Rattus norvegicus: one gene and its partners. The protein of the gene in region 4 interacts with the protein of the main gene of each other region in a pairwise test. Links are inferred from orthologs where the notes say so. Each region holds a gene or a part of one and is shown on either strand. Other genes may lie near its edges.

What was found.
Region 1: the proteins of Golga2 (region 4) and Rab39a interact in binary tests that used the Homo sapiens proteins (3 or more experiments, as listed by UniProt). The two-hybrid records come from large-scale screens. The link is inferred for Rattus norvegicus from reciprocal best matches to the Homo sapiens genes GOLGA2 and RAB39A.
Region 2: the proteins of Golga2 (region 4) and C10h1orf35 interact in binary tests that used the Homo sapiens proteins (3 or more experiments, as listed by UniProt). The two-hybrid records come from large-scale screens. The link is inferred for Rattus norvegicus from reciprocal best matches to the Homo sapiens genes GOLGA2 and C1orf35.
Region 3: the proteins of Golga2 (region 4) and Prkab2 interact in binary tests that used the Homo sapiens proteins (3 or more experiments, as listed by UniProt). The link is inferred for Rattus norvegicus from reciprocal best matches to the Homo sapiens genes GOLGA2 and PRKAB2.
Region 5: the proteins of Golga2 (region 4) and Nxt2 interact in binary tests that used the Homo sapiens proteins (3 or more experiments, as listed by UniProt). The two-hybrid records come from large-scale screens. The link is inferred for Rattus norvegicus from reciprocal best matches to the Homo sapiens genes GOLGA2 and NXT2.
Region 6: the proteins of Golga2 (region 4) and Ndn interact in a two-hybrid assay, tested with the Homo sapiens proteins (2 studies listed by BioGRID and IntAct). The link is inferred for Rattus norvegicus from reciprocal best matches to the Homo sapiens genes GOLGA2 and NDN.
Region 7: the proteins of Golga2 (region 4) and Scaf8 interact in binary tests that used the Homo sapiens proteins (3 or more experiments, as listed by UniProt). The two-hybrid records come from large-scale screens. The link is inferred for Rattus norvegicus from reciprocal best matches to the Homo sapiens genes GOLGA2 and SCAF8.

Annotation. Positions count from the first base shown.
Region 1 is NC_086026.1:62,999,254-63,003,391, forward strand, and holds the start of Rab39a (ras-related protein Rab-39A), read right to left. Parts: upstream 2,801-4,138; 5' UTR 2,690-2,800; coding exon 2,463-2,689; intron 1-2,462. UniProt on the Homo sapiens protein: The small GTPases Rab are key regulators of intracellular membrane trafficking, from the formation of transport vesicles to their fusion with membranes.
Region 2 is NC_086028.1:44,493,148-44,497,184, reverse strand, and holds C10h1orf35 (multiple myeloma tumor-associated protein 2 homolog), read right to left. Parts: upstream 2,801-4,037; 5' UTR 2,703-2,800; coding exon 2,458-2,702; intron 2,312-2,457; coding exon 2,266-2,311; intron 2,184-2,265; coding exon 2,101-2,183; intron 2,025-2,100; coding exon 1,952-2,024; intron 1,848-1,951; coding exon 1,762-1,847; intron 1,133-1,761; coding exon 1,001-1,132; intron 883-1,000; coding exon 765-882; 3' UTR 338-764; downstream 1-337.
Region 3 is NC_086020.1:187,949,009-187,952,508, reverse strand, and holds part of Prkab2 (5'-AMP-activated protein kinase subunit beta-2), read right to left. Parts: intron 2,548-3,500; exon of another isoform or gene 2,546-2,547; coding exon of another isoform or gene 2,525-2,545; coding exon 2,358-2,524; intron 1,094-2,357; coding exon 1,000-1,093; intron 792-999; coding exon 671-791; intron 1-670. UniProt on the Homo sapiens protein: Non-catalytic subunit of AMP-activated protein kinase (AMPK), an energy sensor protein kinase that plays a key role in regulating cellular energy metabolism.
Region 4 is NC_086021.1:35,984,783-35,988,282, reverse strand, and holds part of Golga2 (golgin subfamily A member 2), read right to left. Parts: intron 2,675-3,500; coding exon 2,552-2,674; intron 1,562-2,551; coding exon of another isoform or gene 1,481-1,561; intron 1-1,480. UniProt on the Homo sapiens protein: Peripheral membrane component of the cis-Golgi stack that acts as a membrane skeleton that maintains the structure of the Golgi apparatus, and as a vesicle thether that facilitates vesicle fusion to the Golgi membrane.
Region 5 is NC_086039.1:110,656,526-110,660,233, reverse strand, and holds the end of Nxt2 (NTF2-related export protein 2), read right to left. Parts: intron 3,403-3,708; coding exon 3,258-3,402; intron 2,540-3,257; coding exon 2,358-2,539; 3' UTR 501-2,357; downstream 1-500. UniProt on the Homo sapiens protein: Regulator of protein export for NES-containing proteins. Also plays a role in mRNA nuclear export.
Region 6 is NC_086019.1:125,259,805-125,263,158, reverse strand, and holds Ndn (necdin), read right to left. Parts: upstream 2,101-3,354; 5' UTR 2,034-2,100; coding exon 1,056-2,033; 3' UTR 501-1,055; downstream 1-500. UniProt on the Homo sapiens protein: Growth suppressor that facilitates the entry of the cell into cell cycle arrest.
Region 7 is NC_086019.1:46,170,972-46,174,471, reverse strand, and holds part of Scaf8 (SR-related and CTD-associated factor 8), read right to left. Parts: intron 3,015-3,500; coding exon 2,853-3,014; intron 1-2,852. UniProt on the Homo sapiens protein: Anti-terminator protein required to prevent early mRNA termination during transcription. Together with SCAF4, acts by suppressing the use of early, alternative poly(A) sites, thereby preventing the accumulation of non-functional truncated proteins.

The DNA of each region.
Region 1 (4,138 bases), on a different chromosome or scaffold from region 4:
TGGTGATAATTACCCACTGGTCACTTCTTTGTTCTGTAATATATTTCAAACTGCATCATGAGCCCTCTAGGGTAAATTCCTTTTTCCTTTATGTCTAATCACCAGTAAACCTAATACAATACTTCTCACAAATTCGTCAGGTTATGACTGTAATGACAGACATGTGTCTTCAAGTACCCTTGAAGGTAATAAAACATGCCAGGAGACCCATGATTCAAAGATAATATCTGCATTTTGTAGAAGATGACTTAACAGTAATTGTTCAGAATGCCGTTTTAGGTGAGGCGTTCTGCTAAATGCTAGAAAGGCAACTATTGTAGGTAGCTACTGAAATATGTATTTATGAATATATCATTGGTAAAGAGCCAAAAAAAACCCAGAGTATGACTCATCATAAATGTTCTCTAACTGTCCTTGCATTATTGGGTGGTTTTAATAATGTATAAATAAAAGGAATTGCTATTTAGATTCTTCTCAAAGGCATTACAAAACCCTCAATTAGCAAAGATTTACATTCTAATAAATTAATTATCGTTTACCTTCCTGCCAATAGGGTGAGGAATTACTTTTAAGTAAACAATTGGACAGAAGAAGATTTTACTATCTTTAAAGGGTACAGCAAATTCTCTTATTAAATGCTTTTTTCCCCTGACCCTGAATTATCTTGGAAGTTCATCTCTGAGTAAGATCACAAACGGAAGAGTCTGTAACGGTTCTCAAGAGTGGTTGAACCAGGAGTCTTAGAAATCATAAAGACGTTTTCATCTCACAGATGAAGCACAAGTTTATTTTTTTAAAGAGTTTCTTATATAATGTATATGAGTACACTGTAGCTGTTTCAGACACAATAGAAGAGGGCATCAGATCCCATTACAGATGGTTGTGAGCCACCATGCCGTTGCTGGGATTTGAACTCAGGACCTCTGGAAGAGCAGGTACTACTCTTAACCTCTGAGCCACCTCTCCATCCCAAAGCACAAGTTTAAAAAACAAAGCAACACTTTCAATCGAAGGAGGCAGATTGAAAAGGAAAGGAAAATGTCTTCATGGAATTCTAAACAGTCGCTGACCTTTAACACCTCTCTGAAAGCTGGTCTTATCGCTTCTCTACATCACAAAAGACAACTTATATACAAGCAAGAGAGGTGGGTAGGTACCCTTGTTTTCTCTGTGGATCAGTGGAATCACAGTGTCAGACCCAGGAATGCAAACCAAAAAAAACAAAACAAACAACTAAAAAAACAACCAAAACAAACAAACAAAACAAACCAACCCACTTTTTTTTTTTTTTTTTTGAGATCACAGAGATCTGCCTGCCTCTGCCTCCAGAGGGCTGGGATTAAAGTCTTGTTCTATCACAATCTGGCTGGAAGTCAAAATTTTGAATGTTGAACATTCTACACATGTAGGCTGACTTCTCTTTGAATGGATATTAGCTGAGTGAGGGGAAGCCATATTTGTGAAGTTCCTTAATGGAGTTCTTTATTTCACAAGCAAAGTACTTGCTAAGAGATATAAAAATGCTTGCCTACAAGATTTCCAATTGATCATGTGATTTTTTAAAAACTGGAAATACGCTTTAAATGCGATTTAATCTCAACTATCCAAGGAATTCGGTTTCATTTATCTTCTTTTTCTGTAAGGCCAGTGGGCTTTATACAATCTTTCAAGTTCCCCAGTAAACATCCAGAACTAGACTATTTACTTAAGACTGACTCTCTCCATTTAGAAAAGTACTTTCTTCTGTCACACACCAGAACGTTATGAACCCATCAATGAAATAAAGGAAAGGTTGCAGACAACCCTCCGTATTATCTTTTTCACAGCAAAGCGCCAAAGATGACGAACTTCAAAAAGCAACTTCACCCTTTAAACACAAACACACACCCTTAGTTGTGTCAGTGACTCTGATGTTGCATTTAGTTGTTTTCCAAGACCTACTCCCGAGGGTCATGGCCCAGAATTTTCTGATGACCACACTCGGTGCTGTCAGATGTTCAAACCATTACCGCATGCATCTCGCTGTAAACCGTTCTGAGGCAGCTCTGACTGTAACCTCGGCTGGAAATCTGCTTGCTGAAAACTAAAGATTTTTCACAGACTTAGGAACCCCACTTGGCATATTTCCCGGGCCCGAAAGAGCCTTGGTCAAGGCTGGAGAGGAGGTGCTAGGAGGAAGGTGGTTGAGTAAGGGTGTGTGTGCGCAGCGAGCGAAGTCGAGTTTGGGGAGAAGGCAACGGTGGAGCCAAAGGGACCCAAACGCCAAGAGAAGCAGACAGAGCTGGGGAAGACCGGCGACCCTGGTTCGGACAGGAAAGAAGACAGAAAGGGGGCGCAGGAAATCCGCACTAAATAAAGAAGAAACTGCGGAGGAGGAAGTCGCCCCTGGAAGGGGAGGAGCGAAGGGGAAGCGAGCACCGAGCACTAGCACTTTCGAGAGCCTGTGGCGCGTTCCTCCCTACCTGAATCGCTCCTGCCCCGCCGTGTCCCAAAGCTGCAGCTTGATCCTCTTGCCTGGCTCAATCTCCAGGAGGCGCGAGAAGAAGTCCACGCCGACTGTGGGGTCGCAGGCCGGGGAGCGCAGCCCTGGGAAGCGGCCTTGGGTGAAGCGGTGCAGAAGGCACGACTTGCCTACCGTGGAGTCACCGATCACGATGAGGCGGAACTGGTAGATCCAAATAGCCTCCATCGCTTACGTGCCCAGTGCGCTCAGGAGCAAGTTCTGCCGAAGGAACTGTCCCTTCAGCACCTACGAGGCGCGCGCCCGCCGGCTTCCAGCATCTTCCTGCGGCTGCGGCCGCCGCCTGGTAGCCGCCCTCTGGGGAGGGAGGGGCGGGACCGCGGGCAAGGGGCGTGGACTTGTTCTGCTTGGGGCGGGGCTTGGGTGTGAGGGCGGGGCCACGAGTTGGAGAGACCGCCGGTAGGGGTGTGATGATGGGCCCCAACTGTAAGGAGCTGGAGCTGACGTCTTAGGAGCGGGTCACTGGTCATACGGGGGCGGGGCCCCTAACTAGAGACGGTAGCTTCGGCCTAGGGGATGGGGAAACTAGGAGAACTAGGACAACCGCAGCGTATTCCAGTCCGGATCTTGCAGGAAGTGGACCAGGAAGTGGGTGTGGCGAAAGAACATGACGGCAATGGCAACCAATGAAAATGTACTTAAGGGTTAAACGCCAGAAAGGTCAGCCAATGGGAAGGGAGAGTCATCTTTCACGCATCTACGAAAGTTCCGCAGACTAAGACCCTGATCTTGGAAGTTGGTCAGGCGCTGAACAGGCTTCTATATGGGGATTCATGGTGTTCGGGTTCTCAGAAGATTCCAGTTGGCAGTTTCCTCTGAAGAAAACAGATTTGCAGAACTAGTTCTGATAGTTTCTGTGAAGGACTGCCTGTGGCTGTTTTCCATAACATTTTCAGCATTAGAGAAGAGAATTCTAGCCCTATGCTTTGTGGGGCCCTCCGGCCTAAGAAAAACTTAAAATGTTGAGAAGCTAGTACAAGTCATCGCTATTCTCGGTCTTAGCTGCTCTCTGCTTGCATATGACCAATGATCTAATAAACAAAACGAAATTTAAATTTTGGTGAGACCTTACTGTGTTCTCATCTCTTCCCTCAAATTTGATAAGGAAGAAGAGAATTTCTCTTCTGGACTGGGATGTAGCTCAGTTAGTAGAGTTGCCTAGGAACATGAAGACCTGGGTTCAGTTCCCAACTCCATACAAGCCAAATATGGGGGCCCATGGTTATAATTCCACCTCGTGGGGCACGAGGATCAGAAGTTTAAGTTTATCCTCAGCTACAGAGTTACAGAACGATTTAGCTTTTAAAAGTCAAATCAAAGTTCGACAACTTTAAGGTGTGCATTTATAAAACCAACGTTTGTGATAAGAGCTGTATAGCTCAGTGCTAGCACTCTTCCCAGCTTGCATGAAACCCTAGGTTTGATCTTCAATACTGAAAATTTTTTGCCAACCATTTCATTTTTTTCTTGCAACATCTATCACACTCATCCTTACTTCCTTTCTTTGTTTTAGAAGAAGAAGTATGACTTTCAGAGAAGTATTCTTTTTCTGTTATGCATCTTTACCACCCCCCCCATTAGTTGATCTTTATTTTATGTGGTATGTATCTGACTGTC
Region 2 (4,037 bases), on a different chromosome or scaffold from region 4:
CTTTGGGGTCTACCCAGAAGTGTACACTACCAGCATAATAGCTTTTACAATCAGAACAACTTGCTATATTGTAGCAACCCTAATTTCTACTGTCTGCCAGCATGTGCACACAGGCTCTATAAAATTGCTGGCTACTGGAGCTCTTAGCAGACAGCAGATACATTCAAATTTACAAGTTTGTTCTTCCAACTTCTTGGTCACTTGTATGCTTGTAAGGCAGCCTCAAGGACAGGATTCTGGTCCCTAGACCCAGTGCCCTCAGGTATACTGAATGGTGAGGTGTGGGGGGGAGGGGTAGGCTCCCAGCATAACCTGTCCTCAGTGAGATAATACACTCTACTTTTAAAATACATTTACTTAAGTACAAAGTGGGCTGATACAAAAAAAAGTAGAAGTAATCAGTAACACACACCCCAAAACCTCAAGGGCCTGGACTATGGCGGCAGACAGTCTCCTGGGCAATTGTGGGTGGGTGGGGAGACAAGGGGAGAGCATTACCCTCATAGAACCACTAGGCTCTCTGGTAACCCAGGGCCCACTCTGACCCGGAGTGGTTGCCTCCAATTGGCAGGATAGATCCTAAGATCCAGCAAGCATGGCTCAGGATGCTATTAGGGAGCAGCCCTGCCTTATCCCAGATAGGGATGAGATAGTTAGCAAGTAGGAGTGGGCTGGTAGCCACTTGGCATCAGTGATAGACCCCACAGAGCTCAGAGTTGGGCAGAGCAGCCAGGCCTCTGGTGTCCTTTGGTGTAGCCACATTCTCAGTCATCAGAACTTCTGTCTTGTCGTCTGTGGGATGGGTTCCTTCCACTGTCCTGGCTATGTTCCCGCTTCCTCTTATAGCAGGGAGAGAAGTCAGAATGTCTCTGGCGTCTGGGCCTAGGAAGACAGGGACACTTGAAGGGTCCATCACCCTGCTAAGCATCACTCAAGCCCTGGCCAGCTTTGCGCCCCACCCCCTTCCTTAGTGACCCAGATAGAGTTGGGCCTAGCCTACCGGGCAGGAGAGGGAGAAGATGAGCAGCTGTCAGCCTCCCTCTTGTGTTCTTTGTCTTTCTTCTTTTTGTGTTTCTTATGTTTCTTCTTCTTTTTCTTCTTTTCTTTCTTGCTTTTCTTATGGCTCTCTGCACTGCAAGAAACAATACAAAGGGTCTAAGCCTGAAGAACTAGAGTCACTCCACTGTGGGGTAGTCTCACCCAGTAGGGAAAGACAGAATAGGGCAGGGTCCATACCTTAGCATTGCACACTGGTCGTTTCTACACATTGTGAGTTTATATTTGTAAATGAGCTTAATATTTGGCTCCACAGCAGCAAGGGTGAATGCTGGCATGCTACCAACCTGGTGGGCCTTCTCTCTGTCTCTCTCTGCAGCCTTGTCAAGCTCGGAACTCACTATTTTACCTACATACAAAGCTGACATGGCACAAAAGTAGAAGTAACCTGACACACATACAGTTAAATCCCAAGGCCTGGAACCAGCTTATGAGAGATCAGCCTGCTTCTGTCTACCAGAAAGAAAGATGTGTGCCACTACCAAAGCCAACTTATACTTTTAACTACTACACCCCCCACCAAACTGGCTAGCATCATGGTCCTGAGTGTCACCCTCCTGTTTGTACCCATTATCCTGCTGGATTGCCTGTGGCAGCTACTGAGACTCAGCCGGGAGATGGAGGCCCACCTACTTCAGTAAACTAAGAGACCTAAGGCAGTGCTTTGCCCCTTTATGCGTGCACAGGAAGTCAGACTCAACTTACTCCAGTTCAGCCTTGTCTTCAGCACGGGGCTTCTTCCTGGTAGCAGATGGGGCAGTACTTGGGCCTTCGCTGTCCACACGGTGGTGCTGTATAAGAGTAGCTGTGGTGAGGGACACTCCGGGAATCCTGCCCCACATCTCAGACACCCCCAAACCCCAAGATCCTGGGCATTAGGGTTGACAGGGTTTACCGTGAACACTGACAGCCCAAGTTTGGCAGCCTCTTTGTCTTCTCGGGATAGTGCCACACGGCCCGCGGAGCCACTGCAGGGGACAGAGCATTTGAGGACAGTTCTGAATCACCGCCCAGTCCTGCCCTAGACTCCCCAACTGGCCGCACCTGGCGCTGCCCAGACCCAGCAGCCGGTCCACACCCTTCTCCTCAGGATCTCCTCCTTCCCGTTTGCAGATCTCCACGAAGTCCTGCGGAAGACAGGAGGTTCTAGGCCGGGACAGACGGACCCCCAGCCACCCTGCGAACCTTGAACCCCTATCTCAGACTCACCTCCTTGCTCAGGCCGGTGGGCTGTTTCCTCACGTTCTTGTAACCACTGCGAACGAGGGGCGGGAATGCTCAGCAAAGGTCTAGTCCCTCCTTTGCCTTCCTCGTGTGCCCCGCCCACATCCAACCCCGCCCCCAGGGTCACCCAGACCCCGCCCCCGGCGCGTGCGGTCGCCCCGCAGCCCAAGCACTTACAGTGCGGCCAGCAGCGCCTCACGCTCCGCCTCACGCACGGCTGCCAATTCTTCTTCACGGCTCGGGCCGGTACACGGCGCGCGGTCCTTCGCGTACCAGGTGAGGTCGCGGCCCTTCTGCCAGCGGCCTACTGGTGCCATCAGCGAGTTGCCCAGGTAGTTCTCCCTCTGCTTGTCAGTCTTCACATCTTCCCAATTGAACTGGTCTTGCCCGCCACGCACGCCGCCGCGACTGGAGCCGAACATGGTGCTGGAGCCGCTGCACCTTCTTCAGTATCTACGGTCTGGAGTCGGACTCCCCGCAGCACTCGGCCTCCGGACGCTCGCCGTGACGTCACTCTCCCGCCCCCCGCGCGCGCCTGCGCTCTAACTAACGTTCCTGTGCGCCTGCGCACTGCGTATCCCGGACCGACTCCATCTTTCCAAAGGGCGTTCATTGCTTCACCCACAGGCACATCCTTCGTCCTATTGCGCAGTACCTCTTCAAAAAGGCAACCGTGCTATCACACCTGATAACGCTTGTGTTAGGCATCTCCGTGGAGTGGGACACCACAACACCTTAGTGACACCAGGAGGGGCTGTCCGCTTGTTTCCTGGAAAGCCAAGCGTGCTAACTCCAAAGGCCTGAGGTCCAGGTCACTGTTGAAACTAAGTTAAGTAATGGCAAAACTTCACCGAACACTGAGGAGCAGATAAAGTCGCCAAAGGAACATAGATCAACTCTTCCGTGCTCTGAGTGACAGCGTGCATGGCATTACAGTAAGCTAAATACCACAAGTCGAAGCATCCCTAAACCAGAGCGATCTGTGTACTCCGCAGGTGAAGCTTTACCCGGCAGTTCACTGAGGCCTTGCCTCAAAATGAACAGAAACGGATTTAATGATAGATCACTCGCCTAACATGTAGAAGGTTTTGGGTTCCATCCCTAGTCTGATAAATTACCCAACCTGGAACACTCTAGCATCCCAAATAGACCAAGACAATCTCATTTTTGTTTTCATTCTGAACACAAGTTGGGTACCTGTCAGCAGCCTGTGAGGCTCCTGGTATAAGCCCTGAGATCAAGTCCTGGTTTTAGAGGAAATATCTGGATTCAGATCCCTCAGAACAAGATCATACTAGGGATGAATGGATGGTCCCAAGGGGAGCTGCACAATACATATCCTTTATTTGCCTAATGTAATTGTCATCTCCAAAGCTTACTGCCTTTGTCTGCTAACCTAGGCCTAGTCCTGGAAGCTTCTAGCCTCTGTACAATCTTGCTTTGATTGGCAGAGCTTACAACCCTTGACCATGTAGCTTCAAATGCTCTTCCCAAGCTTGGAGTGAGTGATGAGAGCCAGACAGCTGAGTTTGTGGCTGGGGTCCTTTGGCATCTTGGGCTTGATGGCCTGAGGCTTGGCAGGGGCCTTTTTTTTTTTTTTTGGTTCTTTTTTTTCCCGGAGCTGGGGACCGAACCCAGGGCCTTGCGCTTCCTAGGTAAGCGCTCTACCACTGAGCTAAATCCCCAGCCCCGGCAGGGGCCTTAATGGCCTCTGAGCATGCACTCTCTGCCTCTGCATTGTTGGCCTGCATTTTCAG
Region 3 (3,500 bases), on a different chromosome or scaffold from region 4:
GGCATGACTAGTAGCAGAGGCAGGCTTTGCAAACAAGGGCCTTGTCTCATTTTCTTTGCTCAGCGGATAAAGTGTGCAGCTCTCCAGGCAGGCACACCTCCCACCATACAGTAACAAGACAATGTGCCTCTGCTGTCGGAGTGAACAAGCACTTAGAAAGACCTGGGGGAAGGAGTACACATGAAACAAAACATCCAGGACTGTCCCTGCAGATTCAATTCTACATAGAGCAACTATTGGTTTGGTTTTTTTTCTCACACTCCCTCAGTGACAATTATAGTTGTAGGCTCTCATAAAATCATAATTGCCAGTTGAGCTCCCAAACTAGCTGATTCAGGTTAATAAGACAAACTAGACGCATCTAGCCTCTACAGGTAATATCACCAGATGCTCACGGAAAGTGTGAAATCTTACTGGAAATAGCATTTGATACCGCAGACTACTGGTGGATTACATAAAGGTAAAATGGAGAACAGTGTGTCAGAGTAAGAAAGGCAGACATTATACACATGGGACTTGTGTGCAAGCATGTGTGCACACATGTGTGTGTGTGAGATTATAAGATTCCGAGAAAAACATGAAAATGCAAAATAAAACAAGAAACCAGTTTGGGGAAGGAATATGCATTGTAAGAAAGACATAGCAAGAGAAAGCAATAGGATAATATTACCTCGACATGATGTCTCGGAGCTTTCCATAGAATCTAACTTTAAAGCATCAAATACTTCAAAATCAGATTTCTTGACATGGATCAAATTATTAATTGTGCCAAGCTGACTGGTAACCACAGGCTGAAACAGTGAAGAAATATAAACAAACAAATAAACAAACAAATAAATAAATGAAATAAAATTGGATTCCCTTTTAAATCTATATCATCACCCAAGTGCCCCTCTACTTTTATGACAAGTCCCTAGTAGGAAGCCTGTTGCCCACTGAACTGGAGGGTAGTGAGTCACAAGGAAGCCACTGAGGCTCCGTTGCAAATCCAGGCCTTACCTCTGATGGATCATGAACCCACTGTCCATCCACAAAGAACTTGTACTGGTGCTCTCCCTCGGGAAGATCCAGGATGGCAACAAAGTCATTATGACTAGAGAAGAAAACAGAAGGTCAAATAGGCCAAGTTCCTTAAGAAGACAGAGTGTGAAAAAGTAAGAGGAAATGATGGGGCTACTACAATGGCCTCCTAAGGCTTCCTAAGCTACAGTCCTTGTGCTCACCTCACCCCACGGTACAAATCCATTCTCTGCCTCTGTATCAGTCAACACATGTGCTTGTCAACCTCTCCCACTAACTCTGTTCTCCATCACGTGTGTGTGTGTGTGTGTGTGTGTGTGTGTGTGTGTGTGTGTGTGTGTGTTGGGGGCGGGGAGGGGAGTGATTGCCAAAATGTTTAGATTTCTTAGAGCTAGGGAGTTGTGCTCAGCCACTATGAGTGCTTGTTGTAAGCTTCAGGGCCTGAGTGTGAATCCATGGAAAAAGCTGGGCATGGGTACACACACACACACACCCCTCTGTAACTCTAGCACTGGGGGAGGGGGCGGGGGCAGGGCAGAGACAGGCAGACCCCAATCAACTGCTGACCAGTAAAACTAGTTGAAATGGAGATATTGTGGTTCAGTGAGATTGTCTCAAGGCAACAAGGCTGAAAGCCACAGAGGAAGATTCTTGGGGCTTACTGTGGCCTTCACATGCACACATATGGGTACACATGTCTGCATGTACATGCATGCACATGTACACACATACACACAAACACACGTTACACACAAAGCAGTATTCACAAATATGATTAACATAAAAGATAGGTTTGGGTTGGGAATATTTCAGGGTACCCTTTCCATAGTTTGGTGAGTCTTTTCTGGAAAATGACCCCATTATGTAGAGGGTCACTCTGACAACCACTTACATCATTCACTACTGTGTTGTCAGCGATAACTGGCATTATACCTAGAATGTCACAATGTATTTTACTTTAATACAGAAATCAAAGCAACAGGATTAGTGATTTCCAGGCTTCCTCCAGACAGGAAATGGCTTGAGAAGCACGGTCCTGAATGGCACACACACAGTGCTGTTAGAAACTCCTGAGGCCCTCTCTCTTCTTAAAAGGCAATCGGGCTGGAGAGATGGCTCAGCGGTTAAGAGTGCTGACTGCTCTTCCAGAGGTCCTGAGTTCAATTCCCAGCAACCATATGGTGGCTCACAGCCATAATGGGACCCGATGCCCTCTTCTAGTGTGTCTGAAGACAGCTACAGTGTACTCACATAAATTAAATAAATTATAAAAAAAAAAAAGGCAATTAGGTGCCGATTCCTGCATGCTGCAGACTCAACAGAATGCCTGTCCTCACCTCTTAATCAGAGGGATCTTGGTGCTCCAATTGTTGAAAGACCCAGAGATGAAGACCTCCTTGCCCCCTTCAGACCAGCGGATAACAGTAGGCCGGGCCTGCTGGGTGGGCTTCACAGAATCATCCAAATCCTGCTGCCAGGGTACAAACTCTTTGTCCCCAGGGAGCTGTAAGAAGGAGTAGGTCATCCCTAGAATAAATTATGACCCAAGGGTTTTTAAGATGTCCCAAAGGTTTTTAAGGGGCATTAAATTAGGCTTCAACTAAAGTGAGACAGCCCAAATTCAGCAACTAAATCAGAGAATGAACAAACTATAGAAAAGAACTATGGCTCACATCAGTCTCCTCAGAGAGCCTTTGGATCACCCAAAACCCTTCCTTCAGACTACCAGTTCAGCTTGTATGCAGGCAATTAGGATATGCTCCTGAACACCTCATAAGGAACTAGAAGAAAGTATGGTTCTTTAAAAGAAAATTAAGCCAGCTACATGTTTTTCAGAGGCAAACAGTTCTCTGGCAGTTACAATTAAAGTTAGAGATACCAAAATTCCTAAGTAACTAACAATGCTGTTTAGCTACTTGGTTGTACAATAGGGCATTAAAATTTAAAGGGTTGGAGATGTAGTTCAGTGCAGAGCACTTTCCTACCGAGTCTGAGGCCCTGAGTTTCATCTCTAGCACCATCATCCATCAATCGACATGAATTCGGAAACCACATCACTGACCCGGTAGAGCTGAAGTGGTTATGAAACCTTACTTGCTTACTTAGGCCAGGTTCATAAAATCACCTCAGGACGATACATGACATCCTGGAGCTCTAGGAGCACAAGATCAAAAGCAGCTTCCTTGAGCAAAAGCAGTTCCATTACTTAATGGGATTTATAGGGTTCCGAGGCCATCCTTCAGGACAGGCGTGGGCCAACCGCAGCCGTGAGCCAGACTGCTTTTACAAAGCTTCCGTTTGGAAGCAGCCATGCACGTGTGTACCTGTCATCTACAGCTCACTGCCACCATGCAGACCTGGGAGATTATGACCCTAAATTATGTGTATTAGTTGGCCTTTTACAGAAAAGGTTTACTCACCCCTCCTATGGAATGGCTTCACTGGCTGGTAAATAAGACTGCATGGTACCAGGTCAAGCA
Region 4 (3,500 bases):
GGTTATATCCAGGAAGCCAGCTCTAAGCCCTGTGAACACAGGTCCTGTCACACGTGGATGCTGAGTCTCTGAAAAGTGCCCTTCCGCCTGTCAGCTCTCTGCTCCTCAGCTCTCCGTGTGTATGATCATGACCCATCTTTCATTGTCAAAGTAGCTGCAAACGCCCCTTCTCCAGCCTTGAGTCCACTGGGAACCAACTTTCCTGTGGCTACATTAGACATCCTGGAGGCCGCGTAACTCTTGTCCTGTGCATTTAGTCTGGTATTGGTATTGGTTCCGGACGGGCTCTCACTGTGTAGGATGGGCTTCCCATCCTCGTCTCAGTGTCCGCAGTGCTGGGCTCATAGGCACGTTCTACTGCACCTGGACTGCGCATCTACTTCTGCCACTGTTTAGGAAGTGCCCTTCCTATCAGGAACCCACTGAGTTTTCAGAGAGACTGAGAACAGCTTCTCCTGGTCACTCACTTATTTGTCAGTTAACTTTACACTTTCACAGTTTCTTTTCATTTTGCTTTTCTTTCTTTCTTTTTTTTTTTTTTTTAATTCTTTTTTTCCGGAGCTGGGGACCGAACCCAGGGCCTTGCGCTTCCTAGGCAAGAGCTCTACCACTGAGCTAAATCCCCAACCCCTCATTTTGCTTTTCAAGACAGGGTTTCTCTGTGTAGCCCTGGACATCCTAGAACTCACTTTGTAGACCAGACATGGCCACGCCCTCCTAGACTCAGAGATCTGCCTGCCTCTATGCCTTCAGAGTATTGGGGAATACAGACATGTGCCACCACTGCCTGTTGAGGGTTTCTTTTTTTTTTTTTTCTTTTCTTTTTTCGGAGCTGGGGACCGAACCCAGGGCCTTGCGCTTGCTAAATCCCCAACCCCTGTTGAGGGTTTCTTAAAAAAGTCTTAATCGGGGCTGGGGATTTAGCTCAGTGGTAGAGCGCTTACCTAGGAAGCGCAAGGCCCTGGGTTTGGTCCCCAGCTCCGAAAAAAAAAAAAAAAAAGAAAAAAAAAAAGTCTTAATCCCAGAAACTATACTATAAATTTACTTTCTCATAACCTCATGTTCCTGTTTCAAATCAAAATGAGTTCATAAAAAAGAAGCACAAACTTCAATGGTCTAGCTTTTTAGAGACGGATGCCCAGAGGGCAAGATCTGAAGGTGTGTTTGTGTCCCATCTGTCCCAGTCTGACAGTGCCCTGCCAGGCATTCATAAACTCTAGTCTCACTCATCTGAACCAAAAGCTGTTTCCCCAATTAGCTTTAACTTTCAAGGTGGGTCTCATATTCTCTAAATGAGAAATGATAAAGGGAAAGGAAAAAACCCAATCAAGCGAGCAGTTGAAAAAGCAGACATAGGGGCTGATGGTTAACTGAGGCAACACACAGTAAGCCAGTGGCAGAGGGTCCCCCACAGCAGGGAGGCCTCTGTGGCATGCATGGCTGGAAGAGCAAGCCAGAGGGAGTCTCGGCACTGCCTCACCTTCCTCTTGTCTAATGGGGGGAGCGAGACCCCATTGGAACGGTTAAGGTCGGACACCAACACCTTCAGAATGTCCTGAATCTACAGCAGGCGAGAAGGGAAAAGGGGAGGGGGGTAAGATGGGATGCAGGTGGGAAGAAAAGAGATGAGAAAGAGAGGGGAGGGAGGGACAGGGAAGCAAGTCAGGGCAAGAAGAGAAACAGTCAGGGAGATGGAATACTCAGGAGCACAGATCAGCACCCAGGCCTGTGCCAACCTTCCAAGCAGCCAGCTGCTGCCTTGTCAGAGGCAGCCCTCAGAGTGAGCAAGAGTCCCCAGGGGATGCAGTGACTACACCTGATCAAGGCAGCGACTCAACATACACCAGACCTGTTCCACAGACCCAGGATTGCATGGAGCAATCTGCAAAGGCCCCAGTCCCATGTCCACCTTAAAACCAGACTCCCAAATAAGACTTCACTTGTACACTATAAGGTACAGCTAAAGAGAATCTGTAAGACAATAAGCCAATACACCATCATCCTGTCAGATGAAGGAACTGAGTGTGTGTGGGGACTTTCCTGAGGCAACCCAGCAAGCTCATGACAACGATGGACTGAACACACAGATCTCTTCCTAATGGCTCTTTTCAGAAGCCTGAGAACAATGATGTTCCCTCTGGTTTCTACCCCAAACCAAGAAACCCAAGCAGTACCTATTGTTGGCTCACTGTTAACTCCACAGCAGACCCTCCACTAGGGGAGTTAACCCGAAAACAATCACAATAAACTTACACATTAAAACATTGTTGCTATTGTACAGATATGTAAAAAGACGTCTGAAGACTTTAAACCACTTGCCCTAAGACTTATCGTACAATGGAGAGACAGAATCCACACTCAGATTTTATTTTTCTGTGCTGAGATAAAATCCAGGGTCCCTTGCAAGGCAAGCGAGCCCTAGTCCATCACCACTGAACTAGGCTCCAGCCCTCAAACCAGAAATTTTAGCAGCACCTGACATTACCTGAACCACAGCCTTCTCCCTTCTCCCCCCACCCCATTCCTCAGGAATCTGCTGGCCAAGACTCACATTCTCTGCTGACTGACAATCACTGGCAGAGGTTCTCTCTGGACTATGGCCATTTTTAATCTTTTTCTTCTTCTTTGCTCCTGCAGGGACACCCGGGCTGTTCTTCTGCTGATACTCTCTCAGCTGTGGAAAAGAGAACAGAAAGAAATCAAAGCCGTTTGCCCCACACTCACAGCCTCTACTCCAGCTCTCCAGTTTAGTGAGTTTTTGGCTTGGTGTTTTGTATGCAGAGTCTCAAGTAGCCCCGGCTGGGTGCTAACACATTCTGTGAATGAGGATGACTTTGAACATCTGATCTTGCTGTCTGAACCTCTAAAAGCACCAGGATTTCAAGTGTATGCCACCATACCTGGTTTATACAGTCCTGGAGACCAGGCCTAGGGCCCTGTGCAAGTTAGGCAAGTATTCTACACAGTGTAACAGTTTATGCCTGGTTCCTTCCGATGCTATTTTTATAAAAGACTTTTTTTTTAATGTACACTGGTGTTTTGCCTGCATGTATGTCTGTGTGAGGGTGTTAGTTAGATCTTGGGAGTTACAGGCAGTTGTGATCTGCCATGTAGGTGCTGGGAATTGTACCCGGGTCCTCTGGAAGAACACTCAGTGCTCTTACTTGATGAGCCATCTCTCCAGTCCCTTATAAAAATACTCTTACATACGTAAGTCTCATGTCATGGAATGGTACCAAGATTCTACAAGCTATTGTAATGACCTCTTAATGGCAGAGGCAATGGCATTAATTGGGTTGGGAATGTAGCTCAGTGGAATCCTTGCCTAGCATTCAAAAGGCCCTAAGTTCCATCCAGCAACATATACCCATGCCCATACACACATACACACAGAGGCAAACACAGAATCCAAACCCAGTCTTCTGATAACCTGCTCTGGGGTTTACAGCTCCCAAGGGTAGAGATCAGAGAGTAAACACTGAGTAGGCAGGAACTAGCTG
Region 5 (3,708 bases), on a different chromosome or scaffold from region 4:
GATCAGTAGAATAGAATAGAAGACCCAGAAATGAACCCACACGCCTATGGTCACTTGATCAAAGGAGCTAAAACCATCCAATGGAAAAAAAGATAGCATTTTCAATAAATGGTGCTGGTTCAACTGGAGGTCAGCATGTAGAAGAATGCAAATTGACCCATTTTTATCACCCTATACAAAGCTTAAGTTCAAGTGGATCAAGGATCTACACACAAAACCAGATACACTCAAACTAACAGAAGAAAAAGTGGGGAAGAATCTTGAACACATCAGCACATGGGAAAATTTCATGAACATGCACTCTTATAGAAGCATGGAGGAGGGAGGATGGGATAGGGGGGTTGTTGGTGGGGGAACTTGGAAAGGGGATAACATTTGAAATGTAAATTAATGAAATAATAAAACTATTTTTAAAAAAGAAGCCTTATAATGAACCAGTTCCCATTCTGGGGCCTTAAATACAAAAGCAAAAAACCTTAAGAAAGACGAGAAAACTTGTGAAAATGCATTTTTATTTTTTAAGTTATAAAAATATGAACATGTCAAAAATAGTTTAGTCCACATATGAGCAGTTCCAGCCATTTAAAGTCATACACATTACGGAATTATACAGTGTATGGATAAAGCAATTCACAATGGTTCAATTCTGTTATTGCTAATTATACACAGTTTTGAGATTGTTCTCCACCAATAGAAAGGGCAGCGATTGGACATTTTAATTGTTTCCACTAAAGATGTAGTTAATGGAAAAAATTCAAAATAAGAGCAAGCCCACTCTGAATAGTCTAGAATGCGTATGTTTTGATAAGAACTGAAATAAACCATAGTTTTAAATATCAGTTCTATCCCCTTCTACTTCATTTAAATAATACAATAATTAAAAGTGCATTTCTGGACCAAAGTAAATTACTAGTTTTAAAATTGAGTGATAATTTAATTTTGATCATACCACAGAACAAAGATAGCATGTTAGCTTAAAATATTTAAAAACTGCAAAAAATTGTAAAATTTAAAATTTAACTAAAAACTAAAAACTTTTTTTGTCTTTAGAATCTAAGACATAAAGTTAATGAGTTTGTTCCTTTGAAGTTTATCATGAAGATCTTTTCCTTGATTTGTTTTTTTTAACCATAAGCAGAAATATTTTAATATTATTTCTAATCCAGTGCCATACAGAAATAAATCATAAGATCATAGATTTAATTTTAAAAAGTAGGTAATACAGTTGACAGTGCAAACACCAGAGAAGAAAATCATTCCTGTGCGTGGCGGGTAAGACCCAGGAGGCTGTGGGCTCGAGGCCTACACGGAAGACTTTGGAGTTCGGGGTCCACACGGATTGAGCGGTAGCCTCCTTCCTACCTTTCAGACTCTGAGACGAAGTTTACTGCTGATATCTTAATCCTATGAATTCACAAACTAGGGTGGACACTGGAGATAAGTATGAAGGGGAGTAAAAGGATCTTAAAATCCAGTTTTTAGGACCATTTGGCAAGGATTCTTAGACACTTTTGGGATACAACCCTGAAACTCGGCTACACTTGCAGGAGGTAGGACACGAGTATGGCCACCTCTCTCGTTTGTTGGCTTCAGTCTTAGATTTCTGTATTTCTCATTCCATACTCTCCCATTAAGGCTTTTATTCTCACTCCCATTTATCACATAAATATATTGACTTGAAGCTTCCAAGAAAATGTTTCTCTGAGTTGCTACTGCCACTAAATGTACCCAATACCCAAGTATCCATCAAGACCATTTTTCGCCCATCTAGTTGATTACTTCATTTCAAAAGGAAACATGTCAATGTCAGAAAACAGCAGGACTATTATACACTTATATGCAATTGAAATATGACAGAACACTAGCATAAAATTAAATTGAACTGACTTCAAATATCTATACTTATATATTAAAACTTTAGTACCATTGTTCATCGTAAACAGGCATGTGCTTCATTGAGAAATTACCCTAATAACTGAAAAACCACTATTTCCTCCTACAGAGCTATCTTGTGCTATTCCATAGACAGTATTACAAAAAAGGACTCCATTTGTGCAAGAGATTGGGTTCACAGTGAGTATCTTAGTACCTAGATCATGTTTAATATTACCTTGAGAGTATCAGTAGTGGAATGTATGCATAAGGCATGTAAAAAACTATCTTTAAAGCTTTTAAGGGCAATAATCCAAACTGGCAGCTAATCTAGCAAAGGTGCTGCTAGGAATAAAAAAATATTACATACATTTAGTTTTAGCACATACACTTAAGTTTATAGTACTTTTGCAACGAAATCTATTAATTCACATTAAACTTCTCTTGCTGGAACTAATGGACCAATCGAACGGGCTTTTGCTCCTTTAAATACTAGCCCAATCTTGAAAACGGAAGCAATCACTTGCAATCTTCCACACCGTGCTGTTAGGAGTGCTCTGCGCAGTCAACAGGAAGTTCTGGTTAAAGAAGTGTTGTTTGTTTCCATCAAACTTCACCACTCCACTGGTCACGACGAGCACTGTAGTCTGGTACTGGGTAGCTTGCTCTTTAGCAATATAAGCAAGAGGAATAGGTCACATTACACATCTAAGCTTGTGCTGCAATGTTAAAAGTTTTTTTCATGAACGCTCTGTATTTTAAGAAGCATATCAAAGTCAATAGATGAATATTTTAAAAAGTATTAAGATGATTCTTTTCAGTCTAGAAAGATTTGCAGGGTTCTCTCAAGTTTCAAAAAAAAACAGAGATCATAAATCCAACATGACTATATGCTCCCTGTACATGTTAATATTTCATTAGATATCTAACATCATTCATAGTTTATCTCTAAAGCCATTCTTCAGGAACTATAAGGGGAGATATCATTATAAACAACTACTTAAGATAGTGAATTCCCCATCTAGAGGTGAACTGCATCAATCCACTGGGAATCAAATTCTATCACAAGTCATTCTTCCATAGAATACAGTTCTCTGAAATTTTAACAAACACTCAGACACATTAATCTATGATATGATATTTAATTTTTTCTGTAGCCATTCTCCTTTTAGATAACAAAAAATCACAATCTCCCAAAATTAATGGTGGTTTCTGGAGTGAAAACAAGACCCAAATCCTGACTATATAACTTGTTTTTTTGTGACACTTAACTTGTTCAAATAAGTAACCATACCCACTATTGAAGGTTACTGTTGCTTGGGGTGTAAACCTCAGTGTTTACTAACAGAAAATGAAGGAGATTCTTTGAAAGATCATGATCTTACCATGAACTGGTTGGCAATCTAACATATTGATCTGGAATTCACTGGAAGGCAACATCTCAAAAAAATTAGCAAGGGCTTCCAGCCCTGTAACAACATTTCCATTCCAGATTAGAGTGGCCTTGTCCAAATACAGCCTGACAAGTGCCTAAAAATAAAGGAAGAGTTTAAAAATAGGTATTTTAACTCACAAGCATCTTCTACAAATGCATTAAAAGATTATGGACGGTATGTAAACATTTTCATGGCACAGTCTCTACCTCTATGGTTTCTATTTCCACTTCTTTTGCCTGGTTGCTTTTGGAAAATAATGTGACCATGATGCCTACCTTGCCTTGAATAGGTATTATCCCACTCTGTAAACCTGGAAATTCGTATTTTAATATTTTCATATTAGTTTTGATGACAAAACCTTGCTTGTTTTATTCTCAAAGGTAAAGTTGGATTAAAAGGA
Region 6 (3,354 bases), on a different chromosome or scaffold from region 4:
TCAAGACTCCAGTATAAGGTCTATGATTTTTAGGGTATTTCATTACCAGCATCCTTTCATTTTTCTTGCTTTGTGCTGATACAGTCATTCCTTACTTCTTATGGCTGGTGGGAGGATAAAATAAAGAAGAAAATGCACAACGAGGGTTTAGTAGCAATATTTCATTCTGTTAAAGTGCCCACCAAAGACTATTTAAAACAAAAAAACAAAACAAAACAAAACAGAAAAGGGACAGTCCCTACATAATTCCTGTTATTATTCCCACGTTATGTGAACATGCCTTTTTTTGTTATCACGCCTTTAATGTGACCAATTTCTTGAAGCACCACAATTTTCAAAAAACTTCTGAGTGGTTATGAGTGGTGTTTTCCCACTCTGTTAGAAGTATACTTGCTCATGTTGTACACGGGGAGAATCTTTCTCATCCCTACCCACTCCCATTCCCCCTTTCACCAAAATAAATGCCTCCCCCCCAAACAAAGAAATTATTTCACGGTATATTTAATGCTCATTTTAAAGTTTATTTATGGTGGGGTTGGATACATGTTTTGCAAAGTGTGCTAAGTGCTTAAACTGAAAACAGTCCAGTTCAAATCAGTCCATTCCACATGGATGTTTCCTGTGCCAGTTGGAGTCATATGGAGAGGGACCCTGACCTTTCTCTTGGTCAGGTCTGTGTTGTTGTTAAGTCCTGCTAACTCTCCAGGGCCTTCTTTGTCGATACGGACCATCAGTCCCATTCAAAGAACAAGATACAGAACACCTCAATGTATTTCACAAGTTTAGCACAGCACATCTCTTGTACAAAAATCCAAGAAAGCACAGAAGTGAAAGTACCAACTTGCTCACTTATAAAACACACATGCATCAATTTTAAACACTACACGAGTACACAACTGAATACATTGCATTACAAGATAAAAAAAGCACTGGATGGAAAACTTAAAAACTATACATGAAATACTGCACTATGAATCTGGGATACTCTAATGTCCAACCCCACCCTTACACAGCCCTAGTATGGGTCAGAAACTATCAATGTGCTCCTGGACATTTTAGTCCTCAGAGACACTGCTGCGGGGGGCCTGGGCGACAAGATTAGCCTCCCGCAGAGCTCTGGCCTGCTCCAGAGCCTCTCTGTAGCGGGAAGGCCAAGCCTGGGGATCCTTCTTAAAGACTCTGGCCAGGAACTCCATGATCTGCATCTTGGTGATTTCACGGTTAGCTCTGGGGCCCCAGAAGAACTCGTACTCGGGAGGCTCGATGTGGGGCACACGCTGGTACTTCAGGTAATTCTGCTGGACGAACTCCTCGGTGATAATCTTTCTCACATCTCCGAAGGTGGAGTGCTTCTTCCAGGGCCTCAGCCCCAGGATGCGCAGCACATTCCAGACCGCACCCTCTCTGGCCCCGCGGCCCTTCACATAGATGAGACTCAGGATCATGAGCAGGAGACCTGTCATGGGCATACGGTTGTTCAGCGCGACTCTGTCCAGCTCTTCTGGGCTGAGTGCTTTGACCAGGGCGAACTCCATGGTGTGGAGATTGGTCAGCCTCAGGTGCAGCCCGAAAACTCTGGCGAGGATGACGCTGGTGCGCCTGAGGATGCTTCTGCACCACTTCTTGTAGCTGCCCATGACCTCTTTCACCATGTCTGGAAACCAGAGGACCATCCTCTTCTGGTCCTTGACCAACACGTACCACATGAGCTCGTGCGCCTTCTGCACCAGCTGGGCAGGGGCCGGCGGTGCTGGGATCGGCCGGGCTGGGCTCTGGGGCTGGTGGGCGCGGCCCTCTTCTGCGGCCTGCTGCAGGATCTTAGGGTCAACCTCTTCAAACCGTTCTGCAGGTGGTGGCGAGGCCTGTGGGGCTGCCATAGGGCCTTCCGGAGCGCACGATGGCCCTGAGAGGTTCGCGGCCAGAGGAGCGGGAGGAGGGACCCCCACCGGAACAGCATCGCTGACCTGCATCTCAGTGTCGGGGTCCTCAGCGGCAAAGTTAGGGTCGCTCAGGTCCTTACTTTGTTCCGACATTCTGCGTCTTTTGATCAGAGCAGGACCGCTGCGACTCGGAGCTCTCGGAGCCTGCACTGCCTCAGTGGATACTAGCAGAGGAAGTGCGCTTTACTGAGCACTGCGCCTTCCGCAGCAGCGGGCCGGGCGGGGCAGACGCTATATTGCGCATGCGTAGTGGGAAGCCAGAAGGGTGGTAGGGCTGGATAGGAGCGAAGTAGCAAAGCCCAACCACTGGGGTCTAAGGGAGGGTACCACTAGTATTATGAAAAGGATCTCCTGGTCTCCTGTATGGGACAGAGATGGGTGATAGTGGGGAAAGAAACAAGTTGAAGGAGAAAGATATAGCTGAGATGGTGAAGTTAAGTTCCGACACACTGAGTTAAGTGTGAAGGTCCTGGAGGAAGAAGACTAATTCTTGAATTTGAGTTTTCCACAAAAGAATAGGAGAGACAAAAATAACCTTTTCTTGGAAAGTCATACCTGATGATGATGATGATGATGATGATGATGTGTTGTCTAATATCAGAATGTTGAGAAATTATTAATAGAGATAAATCGTTACAAATCTGAGCAGTATCAAACAAGGAAGAATGCAAAGTATAGTTACAGACACTGGAAATCAATCCATGTGAGAATTTAATGTTTTAGAAGTAGATTCATATAACATAATTGATGTGCGTCTAAAATTTTAATTAAAATGGGACTTGGTTCAGTGGGCAAGAGCTGTTGCAGTTCAAGCATGAACCTGAGTTTAAACCCCAGGTCCCACATGAACAAAACAGATATATAAAATTATTTATATGTATTCATTCATCGTTGGATTCTTAGTTTGTTGGCTTACAATTATTTTAATAACTATGGATTTGGGCTCTGCATTTCTATTAGGTCACTTTGATTTCATTTAGAAATTCCCTTAAGAATCTAGTGGGAAATGATCAACATGTTTATTAATACACATTTTATGATAGTGTATTTTTCATGCACTCCCAGTGCCCTTTCCCCCTGCTTACTGCTGTTACATCTTCATGTTTATAAGAAATCTTCCACGTCTTGCATTACGTCATTAGCAAATGACTAATTCCATGTTGGGCGCACGTCCAAATCTTTCCCAATATCTTTCAAATGCAATTCTTTTGGATAATATCTAACATTCTTTCATAAATGAGAGGCAGCATATTGGTGTTCATAAATAAAAAATGTAGATTGAGAGGAGGTAACCTGAACCTGATATTTCCTCGAACTTTCCTTTATGCAATGACCATGGTTGAAGCTTCCAAAGCCAGAAGTCCTTAAATTTGATCATCTTTCTTATTCTGAAATAATGGAATTCCTTAGCCCT
Region 7 (3,500 bases), on a different chromosome or scaffold from region 4:
CGAGCATTACTCAATTGGCCCTTAGGGCAAGAACTATGTTTTATATGATATATTTATATACTCTACATTATTTTGTGACTTAGAATAATCTGCGTCTTCTACCATTTTGCAAAAATAAATAAATCAAATCTGCATGTTCTCCACCATGAGTCTTTTTCTGACAAGCCCTTTGAGTGCAACTGTGTGTCCAATTCACTACAGTCAAAGAACTTCGACTCAGTCCTACAGGTACATCATACTGTGCTTTACCTGTTCTGGGTTTCTTGAGTACTTAGGCCTGAGTCCCATTTTTCGTGAGGTTCATGTAGTCATGTAATATATAAGCATCTCCTATACAATTCATGACAGATGTGCCTGACACTTCTCATTCTCTCTGGTCCTAGGCCAACTATGTCAATAAATTTTACCAACATTTCTTCATTTACAAAATGAACTACAACAGATTTTATACTTTTCTTTAGCTGTGACTGTAACAAACTGCCTGCTGCTAGCATTTGCATGTCTTAGGCACAAGCACCCTGAGACAAAGCTACAGGCTGTCATCAGTCAAAAAACTACTTCAACTCACTTGAAACCCTCATCGTTCTCCCACAGTGTTCATATGAAATCCCTTCTTAGTTCTCAAATTCTATTGACTCAATTCTTGCATATGTCTTACTCAAGATAATGTAACTTGAAAAGACTGAGTTGATTATAGAGATCTGTATGTCACAATCAGGAATGCGGAGAGTTAGTGAGCAAAGAGATTCCTACTAAGTGTCTTTTTGTTTGATGGAAGGGTTCACAGATTCCAGAAGCTTCAGGTCTGTAGGCCTATATGCCCAACAAAGAAAGATATTCTAAAATGCTTCACCATGTTATTTTTATTATTATTTTAAATAAACATCAATTATTTCCACTTCTTGAAATAATAGTTTACTCAGACTATAGACTTAAATCAGAGTAAAGATCACCTGAACCGAAATTAAGAATAAAAGTCTCCCCAATCCCTTAATGACCACACAGAACTAATGAATCACAACTATTTAATACAGAGTTCTATGCCAAAGAACTATCAATTACTACTATTCTAAGGTGTTGTTACTTTTTAAGAAAAAAAAAAAGATGCTGGTGCTGTCCAAGTCGCAAGAGAAAATAATAGTTAAATATGTAAAATAAAGATTTGGTTCACTTTAAGTAACATGCAGTTGTGTAAATTTTTGTACTTCAAATGATGCATAAGAAAAATTATACAACAAATGGTTCAAGCCCTCTGATTCAACTCTTGCCTCTGCACAGAGCCAGTACTCAGAGTACTGGTCACTCTTTTGGCACATAAACCTTTCTCTACGTCTGATACTCACTAAGTTCTTTAAAGAACCCCAGCAACATCATCCTGTGTATCTAAACACACATCCCTCCTTTAATACTGAGACTACAGACTCAGCTCATCTTTCCTCATACGGTCTATAAAATGCCTCATCCATAAAGATTATTCTGAGAGGTGTTAGTCATGAAACCCACAAGATCAAAATGGATTTGTATCCTGTAACTGTCAAAAATTCAAGAAAATCAGTATGACTTCTAAATAAGTGCTATTTCAAATTAATGAATTATTTTACACAGGATTCCATTATTAGAAATCATTGGGGTTGGGGATTTAGCTCAGTGGTAGAGCGCTTGCCTAGCAAGCACAAGGCCCTGGGTTCGGTCCCCAGCTCCAAAAAAAAAAAAAAAAGGAAAAAAAAAAAAAAAAAGAAATCATTAAGGTGGGTGACTGAACATCTAAAACAGTCTTTAGGACTACTAGCTAGGCTTACCGTAATACCAAAATAATTAGAACAAAATACAGGAACTGCCAGGAAATATATCCAAGAATATTTACGAAGAATATGCTACAATAAATTTATCCCTATAATACTGACTTTTAAAATTCAAGACATGACAGTGATTAAAAATAAAACTAGTCAGGGTTGGGGATTTAGCTCAGTGGTAGAGCACTTGCCTAGCAAGCGCATGGCCCTGGGTTTGGTCCCCAGCTCCGAAAAAGAAAAAAAAGGAAAAAAAAAATAGTCTTGTTATAAGCCTTAGATTTATGATTCTTCCTTATAACAACCCTCACCCATTCTCTCCTTTTTATAGTGTTGTATGTGTGTGTATAAGAGAGAAAGAAAAAGAACAGAAGAGAGAGAATGAAAGACAGTGCTGAATCCCTTGGAACTGGGGATACAGACATCTGTAAGCTTCACGACTGCCTGCTCTAATAGAGAAGTAATTGTCAACAGCCATCACCAACCATTTACCCTCTCTTAACCATTTCGTAACTTTTTTTAAAAACAGAAAAAGGATACCATATCACTTCCAAATCAGTATCACCTATAACCAGAGGAGCTATGAAGGGAACCATCTCCTTTGAATCTTAGCTCTAGATCCTTTACCTTCCAAATATAGACCATTTACACACACTAAAATCTCAGTGTTAGTCTTCAGCACTTAGAAAATGCAACAAAAGAAGTCTGATGTGTACTTCTCTATGAACTGCTTGGCAGATCCATTTCCCACAAAACTGAAATATAACCACAATCCTAAAGTGGCTGTGTGCAGGACTCAATGTCTAATACAATTTCAAAATACTTTGGTAGCAAATTTTTTACAAAAGTTGCTTCAATAAATTAAAAAGTAGCAGAAGGAATTACATTTTTCTACTCTCTAAAAGTTCTACGAGTAAAATGAGTGTGGCTGTTACAATAATTAAATATTAAAGGTCAGATTAGCTAAGAGTAAATGTCAACAAGAGGTCATATAATAAGGTGGTCTAAAGATTCTATCTAAGAAGAGGGTACCATAGCTCCTTTAATAAAATAATAACATACCTTGTCATCCCCCGGGCACCGATATAAATTCTGGAAAGTGCTAATGATGTTATTACTAAATCTGGGTGCAAACACATCCTTTTCTTGACCAAACTGATGCCGGGATTGTCGCACAATGGAGTCAATAACATACAGTCCGGGTACCTTGTATTCTGGTTTACACTGATGAGAGAAAAGTGAGAGGGAAGGAATAGAAAGGTAAAATCCTTGAAAGAAAAGACATTATAAACTCCACTTAAGCAAAAACACTGCTCAGGCTGTAATTAATATGCAGACTCTGCCTAGTTCTTAACCATTCGATTTGAAATAGCATCTACTCTGAACAGAATCTACTTTCACCACTCAATGCATTCAGGTCAACTGTTGCTCACCCAAGTTCCAAACCAGCACTGTATAACTGACCTCAATGACTAAAAACAACCTGATAGACATTATTTTGAAAAATCACTTAAAGAATTTAAAAAACTAGAACAATAGAAGAAAAAAATCAAGAAACGGTTAGAAAACACTTTGCAGGTGTGGATTAGACTCCACTGCTCACACTTCTGTAGCAATAAAAGAACAAATAAAACAACCATTATAACATGCTAAATATAACCAGCCGAACATTTATGATTGTCTCAAATACCTCATCTATAAAGGAGACAT